Linked DNA regions of Astyanax mexicanus. The protein of the gene in region 1 interacts with the protein of each later gene in a pairwise test. Links are inferred from orthologs where the notes say so. Each region holds a gene or a part of one and is shown in the gene's direction. Other genes may lie near its edges.

Evidence for each region. The genes of interacting proteins can lie anywhere in the genome.
Region 2: the proteins of drap1 (region 1) and pole3 interact in binary tests that used the Homo sapiens proteins (3 or more experiments, as listed by UniProt). The two-hybrid records come from large-scale screens. The link is inferred for Astyanax mexicanus from reciprocal best matches to the Homo sapiens genes DRAP1 and POLE3.
Region 3: the proteins of drap1 (region 1) and gtf2b interact in binary tests that used the Homo sapiens proteins (3 or more experiments, as listed by UniProt). The two-hybrid records come from large-scale screens. The link is inferred for Astyanax mexicanus from reciprocal best matches to the Homo sapiens genes DRAP1 and GTF2B.

Annotation. Positions count from the first base shown.
Region 1 is NC_064432.1:18,622,973-18,630,705, reverse strand, and holds the start of drap1 (dr1-associated corepressor), read left to right. Parts: upstream 1-4,718; 5' UTR 4,719-4,814; coding exon 4,815-4,856; intron 4,857-6,995; coding exon 6,996-7,068; intron 7,069-7,623; coding exon 7,624-7,717; intron 7,718-7,733. Other genes in the region: c25h11orf68 (UPF0696 protein C11orf68 homolog), read right to left, coding at 878-1,606. UniProt on the Homo sapiens protein: The association of the DR1/DRAP1 heterodimer with TBP results in a functional repression of both activated and basal transcription of class II genes.
Region 2 is NC_064408.1:17,396,730-17,404,307, forward strand, and holds the start of pole3 (DNA polymerase epsilon subunit 3), read left to right. Parts: upstream 1-4,551; 5' UTR 4,552-5,010; coding exon 5,011-5,076; intron 5,077-6,047; coding exon 6,048-6,133; intron 6,134-6,228; coding exon 6,229-6,347; intron 6,348-6,995; coding exon 6,996-7,174; 3' UTR 7,175-7,578. UniProt on the Homo sapiens protein: Accessory component of the DNA polymerase epsilon complex. Participates in DNA repair and in chromosomal DNA replication.
Region 3 is NC_064425.1:40,920,896-40,927,827, forward strand, and holds the start of gtf2b (transcription initiation factor IIB), read left to right. Parts: upstream 1-3,905; 5' UTR 3,906-4,037; coding exon 4,038-4,054; intron 4,055-6,620; coding exon 6,621-6,727; intron 6,728-6,840; coding exon 6,841-6,932. UniProt on the Homo sapiens protein: General transcription factor that plays a role in transcription initiation by RNA polymerase II (Pol II). Involved in the pre-initiation complex (PIC) formation and Pol II recruitment at promoter DNA.

The DNA of each region.
Region 1 (7,733 bases):
AGCACAGCCATGCACAAAGAAACGAAAACAGAGCAGAATGCAACTTATTTTTATTTTATCTGGCATGTTTACACACTTACTCTAATACGTATAAAACAAACTAAATAGTTAAAATAAACCAGTTAATTTTCCAAAAGTAAATTTTTCGCAGCCCTTTAGTGTAAACATAACTAGCGTCGGTGACTTTTTTTTGTGTACAGTAACTGTGTACAGTACAGTTTACTGTACAGAACAAAATCAGTTCCGTCATCTGTAAACAGCAGGTTAGTGATACAAAAAGCAAAATGCACGCTGCTGTTCCTTACAATATCAGCATAAACAAAATTACAGGTTTGTTTTAGCACAGTAGCAATCAAAGATTAGTGAGAAGAGTTGGTAAGTTAAGTACAGCCTTTTAAAACAAAATTGCGCTATAAACGCAGCACAGGGTACAAACCCGAGAAAACAAAAAACAGCTGAGGAGCTATTTAAAAGTAAAACAGAATACAGTTGATTTTCACTATACTTAAAGGCATCTTCAGTCTTTTATTTCCATACGCAAATGCATCTTGCTCCCCTCTGTATTCACTCTATGAATACTGAATCTATGGATAGGTAACCACAGTCCAAGCATGGTTGGTTTTCACCCATCCAGACCGAAGTGGACATTTATCTCCCCATTAAAGGAACAGTCTGGTGTTTTCTAACCAAACCTCTGGCATTACATCTGTTCAATACAGCTTTGCTTCAGCAGGTGCCAACAGGCTGCTATGGTAAGTCTTTAAACTGCTGCCTGTGGCATCTGGCTATACATTACATACAATATTGTAAACAGAGGTCATGTTAAAAGCCACTGCACTATTCCATTAAAGAGTAAGGCAAACTAACTCAATGCACCTTATGTAACCTCCAGGTTGGTGACTTTATTGATGATGTGTGAGCGCCTGGGCACGCACTCTAAATCAAACTTGCTCTCGTAGATGGTTGGGCACAGCTTCCACTTGTTATTTCGGTATATTCCCAGGTAAGTGTAGACGTCTGGCTTGTAAGAGAGTGAGCACTTGACCCCAGCAGCCCTTATGGCCGCGTCCAGCTGCATGACCTGCTCCTCGTCTGCAAAGTTGTTGTTGTAGGCGCAAATGACATGCTTGGCTTCAGAGTTCGCATCTCGTGGGCTCACTTTGGCTGAGGAGATTTTCCCATCTAGCACGGCTTTGGCTATGCATTCCCAGGCACGGTCCACCTTGAAGCCGGTGTCCATGTGTATGAGCCATTTGCCTGTGAGCACATTGTGGTTCAATGCCAGCTCCTTTATGGTCTGGAAAGTGACTTGGCGCCCACTGGCCAGGAGCTTTTCCCAGCTTTCTTGAAGACCAGTCACGTCCGGGTACTCCGGACCATGATCTGGACCCAACACTGAGATCCAGCCCACAGGGCCCAAACCACCTTCTTCGTCTCCAAAACGGCTCACCTGGGAGGGCCTGTTAGACTCCAGCCAGCTGTAGAATTCGGCTCTAGGCGTTTTGCGGGCATCAAATATGATCCACGGGTCCATGTCTGCGGCCAAGGCCTCGGCAGCGTAGTCTTCTGCCGAAAGAGGCTCGGCATGTTCCTCCTCTTCCTCCATCCTTCTTCTGGACCTCGGGGTTGAGTGTTGGTACACGGGTAGCGTACGTCCTATATGCTAGTGTAAGGCACTCTTTTTCTGTTAGAGAGACCAAAAAAAAAAGTTATGAGTTAACCTGTATGATTATAAGGCAGTTTCACAGTTCTAGCTTCTCTATAAAAGTTGTCAGCAGAGGGAAGGATGAAGTGCTTTAAAATTTTCCGGAAAAAAAAAAAACGCTGCACTGACTTTGGAATTGATATAACAGAGTAGACCAACACCAGCAGACATGACTCTCCAACCCATCACTGACCATCAGTAAATTTTAAAACGCTTAAAATAGATCACTCGGTGTGTAATAAGTCTATATAATATGAGTTTCACATTTTGAACTGAATTGCTGAAATAAAGTATCTTTTTAATGAAAATATTCTATGTGAACCAGGTGACTCTCTCATGAAAACACAGAGAAAATACCAGTGTTCAAATATGTAATCAAAGGTAAATGTGCCACTTCCACTTCATAATCTAAAGTGTAAAACATATTTTGGTTTGCTTACCAAATAATCCTGCATTTGTTCCTGTATAGCTTTAATGTATTTGATATTAAATTTACTACGTAAAAATAAATTATAAAAAGAAAGAAAACACATAGAATGAGAAGCGGTGTGTCCAAACTTTTGATAGGTACTGTCAAAGTGATTTATTTTACACATAAATCGGTAATAGATTAATTTAAGCAAATAATAAATCTGCGGAGCCAGTTGGGAGTTGAAAGAGCCGGCCCTTTTTTAGTGAGCCGAGCCAAAAGAACCGACTCAGAAAAATGCCACATGTGACATGTGACAATCACTACTGCGCATGCGCTGAAAATTTTTTGTGCCTTTTTTACGTTTTCATGTGTTTTTCGAGATAAATCTGCTCATACAGTGTGTTTTACAGTCTAGACTTACTGTTATTGGTTGTTTGAGTCTCACACGAGTTTTAATGGCTATTCAAATACATAAATACACCGTATATACCCTTATAATTGCTATACTGTGTACTATACAGGCTAGTTAGCCTATATCCACATATCTTCTACCTAACCTACCAAACTTCACTTACATTAAATCATGTTTTCAACCAATCTGAATAAACTACTAGTCAATCAGATTTACCTATGAATACACATTATACACTGGGAGCACGTTTTGACAGGGTAGCAACATTGGACCCAACACCAGCAGTTATATTTGCAGATCTGCAGACCCACACACAGCTTAATGAACACTGCACAGACAGGTTACAAACTCATTCCTTCACCCCACAGCTCTACAGAAGACTCTCCCCACACACAGCTCACTCTTTAGCCTCCTCACTGACTTTAATCAGCAAACTTTACCCCAAACACAGCACAGCAGCAGCTGCAACTAGCCCCGACCACCAGAGAGGAGAAATAAAGCAGAAAACTCACAGAATTCCTCACTATTGCGCATTATACAGCGCTCACACTGCAATACAGCCCGCACACGCTCACCTGCGGCATCAAACACGCCTTTAAAACCACTAAAACAGCCGCTAAACCCACAGCTAGCCGAGCTAATGCGTTGTTTTTGAATTGTCTGGCTCTGTCCCAATTTGTGCGCCCGTGCTGTCTCCCCTCGCACACTAGAAAGGCCACGTCTACTTCGAACACTCTTTAGCTAACCTAGCTAGTGTGCTCGTTTCCCTACTTCCCCCACAGGTCGCTTAACAACTGGAAAATATCTAAACGACGGCGTTTTAGGGCCACTCTTTAAAAAAACAGTTCGTTCGAGAATAAAGTCGCAATATTACGAGGCTAAAGCCTTAACATTACAAGATTAAAGCTGTAAAGAAAATATCCAAATGTTCGCAGTAAATCAAGAGGAAATCTTCTCAATGTAAGAGATTTAAAAAAAATTAACAAATAGATAAAAAGTAAATAATAATGATATAGAAAATAATAAAATTAAATTAAGACCAATAACAAATGAATTAATAAAAACATAGAAATTATAAAGAGTTAAAACAGTCACATGCGTTCTGAAGGTAATTTGAAACTAAGAAGAGTTTCAAATTTCAAATGTGAAGAGGAGGTTGGATATAATACTATTAGGTAATAATAATAATAATAATAATAATAATAATAATAATAATAATAATAATAATAATAATAATAATAATAATAATTAGTATAGTATTAGTATAAAATCTATTTACTCATTCGTCTTCTTTTCCCTGATGGTCAGGGTTGTGGTGGGTCCAGAAACTACCCAATTCACCTTTTAACTTTACCTACATGTGCAGAAACCATTGAAATACTAAGTCATGTTCATGTACGATCTTGTTGTTTTAAGATATTATGTCATTATTTTATTATATTATATATTAAGTTGTTATTTTGAGATACATCATTATTTTGAGATACTAAGTCGTTTATATGAATGCTTTTGTTGATTTAGGATCTCACAATAACGACTTAGTACCTCATAATCATAAGATTGCAATTTACTTAATAATAAGTTTTTTTTTAAGTGGAGGAAATTAGATTTCACAAAAAAATGACAATCCTTTGAAAAAATCATTTTTTCTTTCTTTTTTTTGCTATGCTATTGCTATTTGTAATTCTATTTCAGTAGTTCAATAATAACCTGTTCCCGGGTCATTATTTAAAAATACTTGCTAATATTTGGCATAACGGCAGTCCTTTAACTTAAATAATAATGATAAATTTGAAATATATGATGTGGAAATATAAAGACAAACTGTTTTTTTAGAGATTAAGATTGAGATAGGGCCTACTGAATCAAGATTTGCATCCTGCTGCCAGAAACTGAGAAGGCCAGAAAGGGCATTTACCTGACAGGAATGTATTTCCATATTTAAACACCGAATAAAAACAGGTTTAAGTTTAAAGTTAAGGCGAAATTTCACTATTATTTTTATTTTATTTTGTTTTATAGCATGCTGAGTTTGTTATGGGCTTGATTTGAACACACTTGTAAATTGGAGCGCAGCCGGAGATCAAGCTGCGACCCTGCGAGACCCGGCTGGACTGAAGGAGGAGGAGGTGGAGACGGAGCCGCCGCTGCTGCTGAACCAAAAACACTGAGTTTATCATTAAAACCGAGCCTAAACCCGGCCTGGAGCCGATCCGGCAGCGGGACAAAGGAGTACAGACACAGAGCACACGGGCTAAAGCGGGAGGAGTCCTGTAAAACACAGCATGCCGAGCAAAAAGAAGAAATATAACGCCAGATTCCCCCCGGTGAGATTACTCCCATTCACCTGATAATGCTAATGCTAAGCTCAATGATTCTCTATGTACATGCTAACGTTAGCTTAGCACAGTTTAGCCTAGCCTAACTTAGCGGAGCTCCTGTTATCTTAACGCCCACTCTGAATGAGAGGAGTAAAACCTGTGGCTGGGTTTAACTCTGTTACCTGGTCTAGACTCGAGTCTAAGTTTAATTCTGAGTTTAAAACAATACCCAGTGTAATACCGAGAGCTGGAGAAGCCCATAGACTCAATGTAGAGCGGTTCAGCGGGTCCGGCTAATCCTACTGTACAGCTGCTCGCTGGAGAACTGAGAGTTCGGTTAGCTTAGCTTAGCTTAGCCTAGCTTAGCCTAGCTAACAGCTGCAGTCCTCAGCATTATTCAGAGGCCGTGTAGCTTTATAATTAAACAATTTACACTTTATTTTATGCAGTATTCTAAAATCTGTGGTTCAAATTGGTCAATACTAATGTAGCCATGATCCTGGATAATCTTTGTGTGTAGCCAGCCAGCTAGCTAACGCTAGTAAAGGTTTTTGCTAAGTAGCTAACATAAGCTAGCTAACATAACTTAGTTCCCTCAGTTTGTGTTGGAAAGTGAAAACTCAGCTAACCAGCTACTGTACAGACAGAACACAGATGTTTTACTTACCTATAAACACAGATACATTTAACTGACACTAACAGATATTTGGCATAAAATTGACAGACATTTGACTTAAAACCAGCAATTGTTTTTTGACATAAAATCAACAGATGTTTATGGTAAAGTTAACAGAGATATTTCGCATAAAACCAACAGGCGTTTAAGGTAACGTTTTATGTAACAAATGATATTTGACATAACATCAACAGATGTTTATAGTAAAATTAACAGAGTTATTCCACAAACTCAACAGATGTTTATGGTAAAATGAACAGAGATATTTGACACAACCAAAAATGTTTAATGAAAAATTAATAGAGAAATTTAAAATAAAATGAGCAGATATTTGATGTTTAGGTGAGAGATATTTGATGTAAAATATAGATAAGTGACACCAATATATATAACATAAAGATATAACAAATATTTGTTATAAAATTATCAGATGTTTACCATAAAATTAATAAAGATATTTGGCATAAAGCGAACAAATATTTAGTGAAAATTCAACAGAGATATTTTACATAAAATAAAAATTATTTAACAAAAAATCAGAAAAGATTTTTGGTATAAAATTTAAAGTGATTTTAAAATGAATACATTTAACATAATATTAACAGCTCTCTGGCTCTGTACATATCAGCAGGCTACTCAGCTGCTCTTATGCTGCTAACCAACTTTAGATATCAACAATATTTACATACCATTTGTATTTGTGGCATTTTTCTGCTCCATTTACTACAGAGGCCTCATTCTTCTCCACAAAGAGTGGTGTACCTTCAGTTTTTTATTCCAGTGAAGCAGAAGCACATGTGATTAGTTGTTTGAAGACTGACCAACTGATTAAACAAGAGGAACCAAGTGTGCTGCTGCTGTTTTTTTTCCATAAAAAAGGAAATCTGCAACCACAGCAGCCCTGTGTAGATAAGATTGTACATCTCTAATTTATTGATGTAATCACATTCTTTTATGAATGCTCTTAATCTAGTAGAAAATCTTTTTTGGACAGTATGCATTTAAGTACAATAGTTGCATGTCTCTCAGAGACTCAGGTGGTAGATTAGTAGTATAAGTATAAGTACTACAATAAAGTAGTATAATAAAGGAGCACGTTTGTGTTCTTTATTTTATTTAAAATACAACAAGATGTGGCTGGTAAAGGTTTTGTGTTTCAAGCACAGGAAAATATCTAAGTCTGATAGAATGTAAAGCACCAATTTGAAGTATTTCCACACTGTAAATGTTTCCACACTAAAAAAAATGACAGAAATGCATAACTAGTATTTAATATTCACTGTTACATTTTAGCTTTCAGTGTTAAGTATGTTTTTGTGTCCTGTAGTGTATTCTGTACAGTATACACTGAACCCAGCTGTACTGTATGTGGCTATTCAGTAACTACTGTTATGTAAATTACATTTTTTGTTCCCAAAATATCTGTCTAGCTTTTTCACGCTCACTATGTGTGTTTGTATTACTTTCAGGCAAGAATTAAGAAGATTATGCAGACAGATGAAGAAATAGGAAAAGTCGCTGCTGCCGTTCCCGTTATTATCTGTATCCTTTGAAAGTTCACATATTTCTGTCTTCTGTTGTACAGCAGTGTTTTAGAAATGTGTCAGTATGAGAGTGTTTGAGGTTCTTATGCAAATTGCCCTTTAAATATTGCTAATTCTTTTACTGCCCTAAATATTTCTGTAGAGTTAGATGTCCAGTGCAAAGATGGACATGCACATTTCTAATCAGATGCTGTCAGCCATAATCATAACCATACACTGAACTATCCACTGTAGGTGGTAATGCCTTCTATGTTGTATTCCTGGTTAATACTTGACTCTGTGGATTAAGGAATTTTAAATGCCCACACACTCACTCACTAGATAACACCTTACAATATGTGGGTGTTCCCAAGCTGTCCCTTGAGGTAACACTTGGATCACATGATCCATGCATTCCACTGCATCGCATAACCTGAGATTAGTTGATTTAATAGGGTTTTTTTAAGTGAATAATCACTTTCAAGATATTTTGTTATTTTGGCGTTGATTAATAACCCTCTCTACTCTGTAGTTGATGTTCTTGGTTTGGTTGGTTCTTTAACCCCTGTTCGAGCGCGGGCACTTGAGCTGTTTCTGGAGTCTCTTCTGACGAAAGCCTGTCATGTTACCCAGTCACGGAACGCCAAAACTATGACAACATCGCATTTGTGAGTAATTTTAACT
Region 2 (7,578 bases), on another chromosome or scaffold:
TGCATGGTTGGGCACATGCTTGTAAACACATGTGTCGAAAGCTGTGCACCTCAGTCCAGCACAGTTTTGCGCAGATATTTCCAGAATCCCAGAAAAACCTTTTAAAAAGCCATTTAAATCCTGATTAAAGGGCCAATTACTGTTGGTTTGCTGTTTTTCTCGGGGTTTGAGTGCTCGACGCTGACTCATCTTTTGAGACAGGGCGCGGGTGGGGGGGTGATGGGCCCTGCATTGTTTAATATCACCATATACAGTATACTGTTAAAAAAATAACATTTGCAATGTAATTTTTTTCTAATATTGTGCAGCCCTACTGTGTGTTTCAGCAGTGAATGCAACTTTCAATCAATGCAGCATTTATTAGAAGGGATGTCCACAAACATTTGGACATACTTTATGGTATGACATTCACTAGAATGAATAAAAGCAATTAATCTAAAATGATTAGTTTAGTTTTTAGATTCATTACAGGCTCAAAAATTGTAACTGTTTAAAATAGAAATTGTAATAAAATACACTGACATACCAAAAGTAATTTACAGAAATTTGTATCCCATGACTTTTGGCATGTCTTTTGGAAGCTAAAAATACTGCACTGACTCTCTGCATTAAATGTTTATGTGACTTAGCCTCCGCCTTTAACCCATACATTCAGTGAAAACACACATTTTTGTGAGAACACGTGCCCAGAACAGTGGGCAGCTGGTGCTTTCGGCACTCAGGGAGCAGTGAGGGTTAAAGGCGTGTATTGAACCCACAACCCAGTGCTCTAACCACTGAGCCACCACTGCCCTAACTGTCTGTTCATATGGACAATTTTACTCAGAATCCTGTACACTGTGGGTGGTAATGCCTTCTATGAGGTATTTCCAGTTTACAAATGACTGCACAATATCTGCACAATCTAAGAAATGGAATGTCCTGTCTTCCACCTGGCACCCACTATCAGACCTCACTCCAACTCTGATCATAAACATTGCCTTGCTATGAGCATGCTGACCACTGTTCAACCACACTTACCTCAAGATAGCACCTCACAACTTACACAAGTAAGGGCTATCCCACTCCTCCTAAGATTTTATGATTAATTTGCATTCTTCTACACCATCTTTTGGCATGTTATTAAAAATGAAGTACATTAGACCATGATAAAGCATTTTCTGTTTGATGGAATGTAATACAATCTTTTTCACAGCATCCACACATACATATGACACAAACACATACACTGGAGAAAGTCTAGATCTATCCCACAGCTCAATCTTAAAGGATCATTCCTCACGTTAAATTAGCCATGGCTGGAATTCCTCACTGACCTTTGCATACATGAATTAAAATGCTACGTGACCATCGCATATACCCAACACGCCTTGCCAATACTAAAACAACCACCCTACAGCTTTTCCTTTAAGAACAAATCACAGAAAACACATTTTCAGGGACTTTTCACACGATCTGAGTTTGAGATAAACAAACCGTTTGGCAGCTCTAAAACGCAAGCAGCTCAAAGTGTGAGAAACTGAAGTCTAAAAGAAACACTGCAGATTACTACTGAGGTCAGCAGAAACATTTCATAATAGCTTCATACTTCATCACTGATGCCTCAATAATGATCATGGAACATTCTCTGAAATGGAATGCTTGTTTTGGAGCAAGTTCAAAGGCCGATGTTGATCTGTGTTACTATCAAATGATAACATCTATTGTACAGAATAATAACTTTCAAATAGGATAAAGCATTCTGATTCTATAGAGATGTATTACTGTCAATCAAAATAACAATACAAACTTCACATCCTTACTATATACACTTCATGTTTATGACATGAAATATTATTATAAATTAATTCTAAGAATGTATCATATTATGAGATATTTTTGTATAATTATGTCAAAGGACATTTTTTAAATTACCTTACCTTATTATAAAATAAAAAAAGACATTACACAATCCTGACAGAACATCCTGAAATTAAGATTAAGTATCTCTTTATGAGCTACTTTTTTATATTAAAATAAAATGACATGTTTTATTTATGTCAAAGAACATTTTTGAAATGCCAAAAAGTAACTTATTATAAAATAAAAAATGACATGCCATAATCATGACATAGAATATCTCAAAATTACAAAAATGTATCTCATTATGAGCTTCGTCTTTGAAAACAAAAGGACATATTTGAAATTCTGAGGACATATCCCATTATGGGGTATTATATCATAAGAATTATTATGAAGAATTATGCATTTTTTTTTTATTATGTGGAAATATTGCAATTATGAGATAATATGAAATGATAACAACAAATGATGTGCCATAATTTAGAAATAAGCAATCTGCAATTATGGGATAAATATCTCCTTATAACATATCATATTTTTTTATAGCTATATATAATTATGGCAGGCTAAATTTGAAAATGTTGTTTTACTGTAATAATATAAAATGTATAGTGTCACAATTACGGAGTGATATTTTTATGATGTCTTATAATATCCCACTGATAATATATTGCAAAATTGTTGTTTTAATATTTGAAGGGACACAATCGCCACAGCATATCTCTTAAAAATAATAAATAAATAAATAAATAAATGCAATAAACAGCTTCGTAATGTGAATATGGACAGCCTAAATCTCTAATCCAAAAATACTTTTAATATCAAAGTACTTTGACAGCTTATACCCCTTTTAAGAAGATAAAGTAAAGTAACGTTTTTTAAGATTTTTTTTTTTTTTCAAAAACATTAAAAAACAAACAAGGACATCCAAGATCATTTAATCATACAACCAAAAAGTTTTACGAGCTAAACAAAACATTTATATTTATATTCTTTATATGTCATTCATCAGCAAATCTAACTCCCTCATGTTCTTAGTTAGGCAGTTAAGAGAATCAATAAACAAATCAAATTCAACAAGAAATAGATTTAAAAGGGTTTACCTTTTTGTGTAATGTAGCTACTTGATAACTTTACAGAATTAAAATTAGTATAACGTACTAAAGCGTTACGCGCATGCGCAGTATGGACAGGCTGTCTGCAGAAATGTTATTTATAAATAAAATGAGCTAGAAAACAGAAAAGGATAAATATTGAGGGCCTAGAAAGATAAATGGGTGAATAAAATAAACACATCAGCAGCTCCGACAGTAACTGTATAAAATAAAACCGTGTATTATAATAGACTGGCTGCCCGCTCTGCTATTGGCTGCTGCGGGAGCAGCGCTGTGTGTGAGCGGGTGAAGGGTGAAGGGTGAGGCCAGAGTTGCCAGGTTCGCAGGTTTCCCGCCAAATTGGGCTTTTTTGAAAATCCAGTCGCGAGTAAAAATCTTCCTTGGATTACAACAATAAAAACCAGGAGAATATAACTATGGGAACTAACCCATTGCAAAGACTTATAATTAAAAACATTACTATTGCATTTAGATTTTATTTTTGACATTTATTATGCAGTTCATCACGAAAAGGCAAGGCCAAAATAAAGCTTAATTTTTTCTTTTCACAATTACCTTTTTTATTTTAGGTTTATTTTTTTATTTTGTGAAATACTCGTATGCTAATAAAATAAATGGCAAAAAGCCTTTTCAATTTAATTTTTTATTTTTGTCACTTATGACCCATGCTCAAGAGAAAAAATTAAATTACAAATGAATTGATTAAATTTTGTTTTTAATTTTGTTATAATATTTTCACACATGTTTGGAAAAAGAAAGTGCAAAACTGTATTTGCATTTTCATTTTAGTCTTTTCATTTAAGTTTTATTTTTGGCAGGATTTACCTCCCATGCATAATGACAAATAAATCAATGTAACTAAATATACAATGTAATCAGAAATCACAAGGCGATGAAAAAAATGTTAAAGAGGAGAAAAGAGAGCTCAGGAGGGACAAGAACAGAAATGAGTAAGTAAAAGTTTTTTTTTTTTGCTAATTATGTAACAATTAAATGTTCTTGACTGGGATATAAAACGGTTAAAAAAAATAACTAATAAAACACTAATTCCTTATAAACAAAATACTAAGTCGTCCACTCCATGCTAGGGGTGGGCGATATGGCTCTAAAATAATATCACGATATTTCAGAGTATTTTTGCGATAACGATATACCTGGCGATAGAGGAAAACTAAAATAATTAATTAATTTCAGGAATATAGTATAACAGTATAACAGAATAATCATAATGTGGCAAAAATAAATAATGTAGCATAAAATAATATAATGCAGCAAATAATATTGCAGAATATTTAGTGCATGCATATAAACTAGAAACTAAAACAATTACACAATAAATACACTTAAAGCTTCACAGTAAATAATAGGCTACTTTTAAAACAGAACAGCCCTATTACCACGATATGGATTTTTAATATCACGATATTTCTGTGTCACGATATATTGTATACGATATAATATTGCCAACCCCTACTACATGCTTAAAACGTGTGACAAACCTATATTTTGGATTAGTTTAATCTTCTGAAGGGCAGCTTTTAAGACTGACTTTGGGCTGGATGGTTTGGTTGGACCTGGCAACCCTGCGGTGAGGCGGGGGTTTTTGGATGATAAGCGGGATTCAGCGGCTCAGAGCGGCGAGTTTCTTTCACCTCAGTCCGAGAAGAGCTACCGGTTATTTACTTAAATAACCCGCTGCTGTTATTATTATATATATATTAGTGTACTGAGCGGGTATGGCCGTTAACTGATAGTTTGCGGGCGTTTTATCGAGTTAGCTTAGCCTAACTGGGCTGTTTTCTATCACACTGCAGTCACAGGTGGTTAGCTGAGCTAGCGTCAGTTAGTCGGTAGTTTTGGCGGACTGATAGTCTGTTCTGCTCTTTATTGAGCGGGACTGTATTATTGTATATGTTTAGCAGAGTTTGGAAGTGTCTCCACTCTTCCTCAGGCAGAGTTTTGGTCTATTAAAGCTGTTTAAGTTTAGTTAATTTATTAAATCACTCGTTAGCCTAGCTTACTCACTGGACTAGCTGTGTGTGAGTGAGTGAGCATGGCTGAGAGACCGGAGGACCTAAACCTTCCCAATGCTGTGATCACCCGCATTATCAAAGAGGCTGTGAGTAAACTTACCTAAACTACATACCTACCTTCCTACACACTGCTGTGCTTAGATTAAACATTTTTATCTAGTTAACCTCTAAGTCTAATTTCTGATATAAGTAAGGGTTTATTTGCAGTTTAACTCTATATATGCTAATTTAACTGATGCTACTGCCACCTGTTAGGTTGCCCACTGTTACTTGCTTACTGACAGACTCTTAACCTTAACTTTAATATTAATATACCATGTAAAAATGAATAAACTAGATAAACAAAAACAATTGAATGAGATGGTGTATCCAACCTTTTGACTGGTACTGTACATTTACCTCTATGTATATGTAAATGTAAATATGCCTGTAGCCATAGGAGCATATAGGGCTGGGCGATATGGGGGGAAAAAAACATCGTCATGATATAGTTTTCCTTATCAGTCAAAATCACGATATAAATCAAATCACTTTCTGTCACACTTAAAGGTTTCCTTTTACTCGTAAGTAATTTTAGTTAAAAAAATATTTAGTCAGTAATTAACAAATGAACATTAGAACGTTATACAACTATATAAATAAAAATAAAACACTCAAATCCTGTAAATTCAAAGATCAGATGTTACAGAATAACAAAGTGGGTGTTTCAATTCTCTGTTAAATATTCACAGAACAAGTTATATCAAAATTTTATCATCTGTGGCTTACATTTCTATCAATCGTTTTATCGCACAGCACTAGGAGCATACCATAATATCCATTTTGGTTTCCAGCATTTTATTTAATAAACCAAACTGTTTTTGTACTAATGTAAAATATGACCGTTTACATGAAAAATTTCCCTCACATTTACATGAATTTTATTCTCATTATTTAATAACACAGCAGTGTATGTATTGTAAATATACACTTTGGCTGTGAGTCTCATCAGCTTCAGTTGCGGTAGACCAGAACAACTGTGTGAAATGTAATTTTCCTTTTGTGTTGCTTTTGTAAGTTGCCAGATGGTGTAAACGTGTCCAAAGAAGCAAGAAGGGCAATATCTCAAGCAGCCAGTGTGTTTGTTCTCTATGCAACATCATGGTATGTCTGAAGACCACAGAACAGAACTTTTATCTCGCCAAATACAACAGTAAGTGTGTGACTAATCAATTTTTAAAAATATATTTTATTTCCAGTGCCAATAGTTTCGCTATGAAAGCCAAAAGGAAGACGCTCAATGCCGGAGATGTGATGTCGGCTATGGAGGAGATGGAATTTGAACGTTTCTTGCCACCCCTGCGAGACGCTCTTGAAGGTAACTGATTAGGACTCTCACAATACATTTTTGTTTGCTGTGGCACTTTGTAAAGCCTGTCAGACGTTGTGCTGCATATTGTTAAACAATATAAAAAAAAAAAAACATAAACAGCAGTTAACCCTGAGTAGTTCATCTTTACCTTTTTTATTGATCCGTTGGCCATTAGACAACTAGCTTTAAAAAGTGCTGTTTGTTCTTATGCAAAAAAGATGCAAGTAAACACAGTGGGTAATACTGAGGTCAGCAAAAGTGACCTCCATATATTAAATGATACCTTGATAACACAATTTTCACAAAAGGCCTGTAACTGATGAGACATTTCATATGTTTTTTTAGTTGGGGTCTCACATAGTTGTATACAGTGTATAGATATGGTGTTGAAAAAGAACCCTGACATGTAGTTGCAGGATTTAAATATTTGCTCTTAGAATTTTAAAAGCAGCCATTGATAAATTGTGTGTCATGAACAAACAGTCTGTAGTGACAGTCTTCTCCAGTCATCTGATAAGTGAATTATATTTATATGTATTTTTTGTTGTTGTTTAATCTTACTAAAACTGCTAATTCTGACTTTTTTAGCACATTTATTTTTAAGGGTGTACTATTACTAGTTCTAGGCTTATTTTTGCCTGTTTTGTTTATCAGCCTACAAGAAAGGACAGAAAGGCAAAAAAGAGGCATCAGAACAGAAGAAGAAAGACAAGGAGAAGAAAAACGGTACAGAAGAGCACGACAAAAGCAGAGAGGAAGAGGAGGAGGAAGAAGAGCACATGGAGGAGGAGGATGGAGAGAACGAAGGCGAGGAGGAGGATGTGGAAAATTAAGGGGTACAGCAATTTAGCAACAAGCCTAAACAGACTAAGGAGCCTGATAGTAATGTCCACGTTCTAGATGAAATTGGAGAGGAAGAAGAAACAGCTGTCAGCACTTGCTTGGTCTAATTAAAAAAGAAAGGTGTATCTGTACAAATCTGAAGGTAACAAAAGGAGTTCACTATTCTAACATGGCACTGATGTATTGTGCTATATTCCCTTCCCTACATTCTTTGACTGGTTCTAATAATAGAGTCTGTGTTGCAGAGATACTGGCTCTACTTGTAGTTGAACAAGAGTACATTCACTGTGTATATTAACTGTAGTGCCACAAATATGTGCAGTGGGGAAAGAAAATTAGGGAGTATAGATTGACCAAGCTCTGCTAACTTGCCTAACAATCATTTGAAGCTAGT
Region 3 (6,932 bases), on another chromosome or scaffold:
GTTCCTGGAGGTGCTGAACAATAGTTGCTGCTTCTTTTCCTTCACGCTGTGAAGCTCCAGCTCATCCCAATTAAATCACCTCAAATCACCATCTCAGTTCATCAGAGAAACACTTTTTTACTGTTTACTACGTAATTCCATATGTGTCCCTTAACCGTTTTTATGTCTTTAATATTAATTTACAATGTGTAAAATAAATTCAATAAATAAAGAAAAAAGAAAAACATTGAATGAGAAAGTGTGTCCAAAGGTTTTACTGGTACTAAATATATATATATATATATATATATATATATATATATATATATATATATATATATATATATATATTAGGCCGTGAGTGAACAGTTATTTTTTGAAGTTGATGTTTTGAAGCAAAAATATGGATAAGCCTAAACATCTGAGACACTTTAACAAGAAACAAACTTTGATGTTCTAGACAATGACTGGATCAGAATCTCCAGAACATCAGGCAGGTCTTGTGGGGTGTTTCCCTGCAGTAATATGAAGTGGTCAGTAACTTCCGACAACAGGACTGTGGCTGGACAAAACGGTACCACTTTAAAATAAGACTACCTTTATAAAGGGTTTATAAATGGTTTACAATTAGTTTATAAATGGTTACTAATTAGGTTGTAAATGCCTTAAAAATCATTAATAATCAGTTGTAACACATACGTATGGTAGAAAGGGCACCAATGACCTGTTGTTTCCCAAATAGTGACTATATAACACAGCCATCTATATTGATGCCCTTTCTACGTATGTGTTATAACTGATTATTAATGATTTTTAAGGCATTTACAACCTATTTAATAAGCATTAATAAACTAATTGTAAACCATTTATAAATGCTTTATAAAGGTAATCTTTATTTAAAGTGGTACCGACAAAACTTACTCATGCTCATGGAGACCCACCTCACACCTTACAGGACTAAAGGTGATGTTAGTCTTGGTGCAGATACAACAGAACACCTTCAGGGGTCTTATGAACTCTAGGCCTCGATGGGTCAGTGCTGTTCTGGTAGCACAAGGTTGGCCTATACAGTATTAGGCAGGTGGTTGTATTGTTATGGCTAATTGCATCAGATATAAAGGGCACTAGTGCAGCGTGCCAATTCTTACATCATATTGTGTAGCTCAGTGGATGATTATTTAATGGTGCTTGTTTATACCAGTTGCCACCATGTGCCATGGCTACAGAGACTGGGAATTGTCTACTGGGAATAAGGGATTTATGTGGCATCAGCATTTAGTCCCAGCTGCTCCAACCAGCTCTACATGCAAGGCATAAATAAGCTCAAATAAACATGAAGTGAGTAAGAGTGTATAACTGTAATTAACTCAATATAACATTAGAATAAACACAAATAAACATAAATTCAGTGGTCAGTGAGAGTGTCTACATGAAATTAACTCAATATACAGCTCTGGGAAAAAATATGAGACCACTTAAAATTTATGAGTTTCTTTCATTTCACCAAACTGAAAACGTCTGGAATATAATCAAGAGAAAGATGGATGATCACATCAGGATCGCATTTTTGCATCAGGAGTGGCATAAATTTATCCAAAAGCAGTGTGTAAGACTGGTGAAGGAGAACATGCCAAAATGCATGAACACTGTGATTAAAAACCAGGGTTATTCCACCAAATATTAATTTCTAAACTTGTGTATATTAACTTGTTTTCTTTGCATTGTTTGAGGTCTGAAAGCTCTGCATCTTTTTTGTTATTTAAGCCGTTTTTTCTGCAAAAAAATTGTCTGCAGTTGTTCAATGTTCGTTTTACGCAAACATATACCTATAAATAGCAAAATCAGAGAAAATGATTCAGAAACTAACGTGGTCTCTTAATTTTTTAAGAGCTGTATAGTTGTGTTTGAAATTTGCGAAGTTTTAAAGACTTTAGAAGTTTCTAATTTTTTGCATAAATACAACTTAAAACATTACCAGATGTTTTTTCTCATTTGTTTAGCTGGGTTCTCTTTATCCACTTTTATGACTTGTATAAAAAAATCTGATTATGTTTTAGATCATATTTATGCAGAAATATAAACAATTCTAAGAGGTTCACAAACTTTTAAGCACCACTATCATTAAAATAAACCCAAAGAAACATAAAAACAGTGGTGGAATAAACACAACCCCCTCTGGATGGAGTGTTTCACACCATACCCACTCTGAATGGTGTTGTGTACACATTAACTATTTCATTATGCAAGAATTTTAAAAAGTCAAATGCAAATGCAAATATTACTGAGATATGAACTTTGACCACTTATTTTCAATATGCAGTCTTACTGCATTCTTATTACAGAGTAATTACACAAGGTAAACACTAGCCACATAGGGTTATTCTTGTATTATCATGGTGAGAGATATTTAAAGGACTTATGCTCTATATTTATAGAACTGTCCATGTGAACAGGTAAGTGGCTCCGAAATCATTACATCCAATGCAGAAGACCCTGCCCACATATCCCACGTAGCTCCCATTAGATGGGACATAGCAAAAGTCATGGTACAAGATATTAGTTTCTGTCCCATGATATTTGGCATGTCTGTGTTATTATTATTAGAGCATCCTTCAAGAGCTCAGTCTCAAGTCAACATATTAAGAAGACTAGTGTGCTCCGAAGGCTTTAAATATGCAGACGATGTATTCCTGGTGTCAGTGTGCGTATAACAGCACAGTCAGTACCCACAGATATAGTCACATGACGCGGTGAGATGCTTCCTCTCCGGGCCTGAGGCTGAGAACAGGAGCTGTAGTATATTTAGATCTGCTCTGAAGTTGATTTAACCACTGAGTTCAGCCTTGAAGATTTATAATCTGGTTCAGATCAGATAACGAGCTGTGTATAAGTAGTACGCAGTTACGGTAACGTCTGCTGACGTGTGTATCAGCTGGTGTCTCTGTAATATATATTAAATTACACTCTGATAAACCCTTAACCCAGTCCTCACTGCTGCACCTCCTGTATGATTACTTCTTTTGCACTTCTATCACCCTTACTCTGTGTGATGACAAGGAGCCATGTTTGTTTACTTCCTGTGCAGCCACGGACCGCTGATATAGGTTACAGCCACAGTAATAATATGTGTAATATTATTTATTTATTATTTTATAGAATAAGTAATAGCATACACAAAAAATGACCAACACAACACAAAATATTGCATCTCCTCTTAACTTATATCCACCACCATCCAGAGAAGAGGAGTTGCGTCTGTGGTTGAAAGAGCTTAATTTGAAGCATCCATCCAAACAACCACACACATCTGTGCTTACCATTATAAGGAGGAAAAGAGAAATGGCTTGGGTTTTGAAGCTCCGGGATACTGAAAGAATTTAAATTATGTACAGTATGTGTATAAAAGAGCTCTAGAAGTACAATGACATGCAACCAGTCATGGGACAGCAGTATATACGCAGCATAGGATCATGTTTCTTCAGGGGATGGCTTGGGAATGCCCACACCTGTATAAGTTGTCAGGAGTTATCTTGTGATAATAAGTGAGGTTGACTAAAGAGTGGACAGTGTACTCAAGACCAGTTTAATTATGGGAGGTGGAGTAAGGTCTGATAGTGGGTGCAGATGGATGGGTCCTTCCATTTGTGAAGTTGTGTGGGTATTTAACATTCCTCAATCTGCTAGGAATAGTTCATAGAAGGCTCCCGCATGGTGTTTTCTTTGCTTTCTCTTTTTTTCTCTTTTCTTTACTTTAAATGTAAGCAGATATACGCTGTTTTGTTCAAGAAGAGCACTAATATTGGAGGGTGGGGGTTGTGTGGTAGACATGCAACAGTTTAATTTTTTAATTTATTTATTTAAATATTTATTTTTTTGTTATTATCAGTAATATTGCGCGAACTTATTTGGTTTGTTCTGGATGTAGATATTTGGTCGATTCTGGCTTTCCGTGAGCAGTGAAGCTGTGATGAGATAAATAAGGGAGGTTATAAATAAAGCCCAGCTAAGGCCAGCTCAGCTCAGTTCAGCCCAGCCTGACTGAGAGACACAGGGACAGAATGGCGTCTACTAGCCGGTGAGTACAAAGCACAGGAGCGATTTATCACTTATTTAACTCGTTTTTGCTGTTTTTATAGATGATTAAACATTAATATGGTATGTATGAACACGTTGTCCACACCCCTGCGTGCGTGTCAGTGAGTTTTATGCAGAATCCGGGCTAAAATACGGGTTTCATTAATGGGTTCTGAGTGAATCGGACACGTTGTGAATGCAGTTCGTTAACACTAGCTGTTCGGGTTAGCCTGCGTTAACTCTGAATTTTACATAAAACAAACTATTTAACTCTATAGTATTTGTTTTAACGATTGCGAAAAGATGAGAACCCTTATAACAGCTAAATGACAGTGGAGATTGGGGTTAAGGGCACATATATAACATTTTTTTCATCTTAAAAGCTCCAGTTAGCATGAAAATGCGAACGCAGCTAGCTTAGCTAACGCGGCTAACAGAAGCTATTGTATTCTGTAGTGTTGGCTAGCTAGCCTGTTAGCATGGTAGTATCCAGCTAAGCTAGCTAGCTAACTAAACCGGCGATGTTTTAACTCTTTAAATTAACGTTGTATCTAGCTAAAGTATTTAGTAAAAAAAGTTACCACCATGTATAAGGGAGCAGATACCCTTTGAGTGATAATTTGACCATTATTATAACATTAGCTAGCTTTGTGTTGGTGTTGAAATGGCTAGCTTAGCTTAGCACACCTATCTATATAGATAACAACAGAGGAAACGACACTCAGGGTTTTATTAAGCTTCAGGTTAAACTAAGGATAAATAATCAACAGCTATTATTTAACGTTACTGACCTCGTGTACTGCGGCTGATTTAACATTTTATAGACAATAGTTAAGATCAGATATAAATACAGCTAGTTTAGTTAGCTAAACACTAAGAGAGATCCTAGCTCAGATAGACTGGAAAGTGCCATGTCACAGAGAGGGGCTTTAAAGCTCCTGTTTCTGATTATCATTACTTATCATCCTAATAATTAATAATTCAGGAATAATTAGTCATGGTTTTCATTTTTAGAAACGTCACTTTGGGAAGCAAGATAAGAAAACAGATAGAAAGCAACAGACACAAGAGGAAAATGAGCACAAAATTGTAACTGTCACGGGTGATGGAAGGGCAGAAATGGGTTCTGTTGAAAAAGAATAGCAGCCTATTTATTGATGGAGAAAAAAACAACAAATCATAAACTATTTAATTTAAATTAGTATGAATTGAAATTTAAACTAATTTATTTTAACCTCCTCAGACCCAAACTCTTGCATGGCATGCATTTTTTTATTTCTCTTTTTCCCTGTTCAAGCTTATTGGCACTTGAATAGTGTAAAAACAAAGAATTATCTTTTCCCATGATGTAGGTTCTGAGAAAAAGATGCCCACATATAAGGACTTTAGTTTTATATTTTGATACAACGCAATGAACTCGCAATTAGTAATGATGTGCAAAACCTATATTTGTGTCTGAACACAGCAGCATGTTTTGCCTGATTGCAAAACAAAAGTAGAAACAACAATTGTGCCCCTTTGAGCAATTTGGATTATTTGAAGGTTTTCTCTAGGTGACAGTATAATGGCCTCATAAGAGGACACAAGGCCCTTGTAGAGCAAAATTTATTGTAGTTGTCTAGACAACCCAAAATGTCATGTCCACACATGTGAATGCTAGGTCCTAATAGGATAAATATGATCTTTATTTAATTTTTGCTGAATATCATCCAATTTAACGTTTTTTTCACACTAGTGAAGTTTACACTTATTTTCTTTTTAGACACTGACATAAATGTGTTTTACAGTGTATTGATGATGATGATTATTATGATAATAATAATAATGTCAAACATGACAATATATTGATGTAATGTACTTTTATAACTTTTTTTAAAGAATCTCCCACTGCTGATTTATTTTATCCAAGGGTCAAAATATTGTGATTAATACTGTGTGTTAGGGTTGAACAGTATTTGCAATATATATTGTGTTAATAAAAAAATCATTAAGTTTCACCATATATTGCTGCACAATAGCAATGCTAAAACGACATATGCAGCCAGCCCTAATGTGTATCATTCATTAATTTTTAAATTGTGATTAAACGTTTTTACTGCAAAAATGCAGTGCTTTCAGACTCCCTAAATAATGCCACAAATTTAAAAATGTTTTGTGGGTTCAGAAATTAATATTTGGTGAAATATTGCCCACATGCCTCTCATGTGTCTTGTCATGCCCTCCACTAGTCTTTCACACTGCTTTTGGATGACCGTATGCTGCTCCTGATGCAAAAACTCAAGCAGTATAGCTTTGTTTGGTGGCTTGTGATAAAAAAAAGCTCAAATTAACAATATTTATAATTAAAAATTTTGAACTTTTGTCAGTAGTTTATAAAATGAAGTGAAATGCAGAGCGTACTTATACTAGCTTATAAAGTTGCATATTCAATCCACGGTCTGTTAAAACAAACCAGCCCAAAATTAGTTCTGAGTAAGGAAAAGTATAAAAACACCCTAGAAGAACCATTTAGTTGCATCAAAATATATTAGGTCTAACTTCTGCAATCTTTTTTTTTTTTATTGTAGTGCAGATGCTCTCCCCAGGGTGCAATGCCCCAATCACCCCGAGGCTATACTGGTGGAGGACTACAGAGCAGGGGATATGATCTGTCCAGAATGTGGCCTGGTAGTAGGTATGTACTCTAGACTCTAGACATTTTTATATTAAAGATTCAAACGGTCAGAAAATGAAACTTACAAACATTTCACTGTTTTCACTGTGTTCTGTCTGTTCTGTGTGTACCAGGTGATCGCGTTATTGATGTGGGTTCCGAGTGGAGGACGTTCACAAATGAAAAAGCCACTAAAGACCCGTCCCGTGTGGGAGACGCGCAGAAT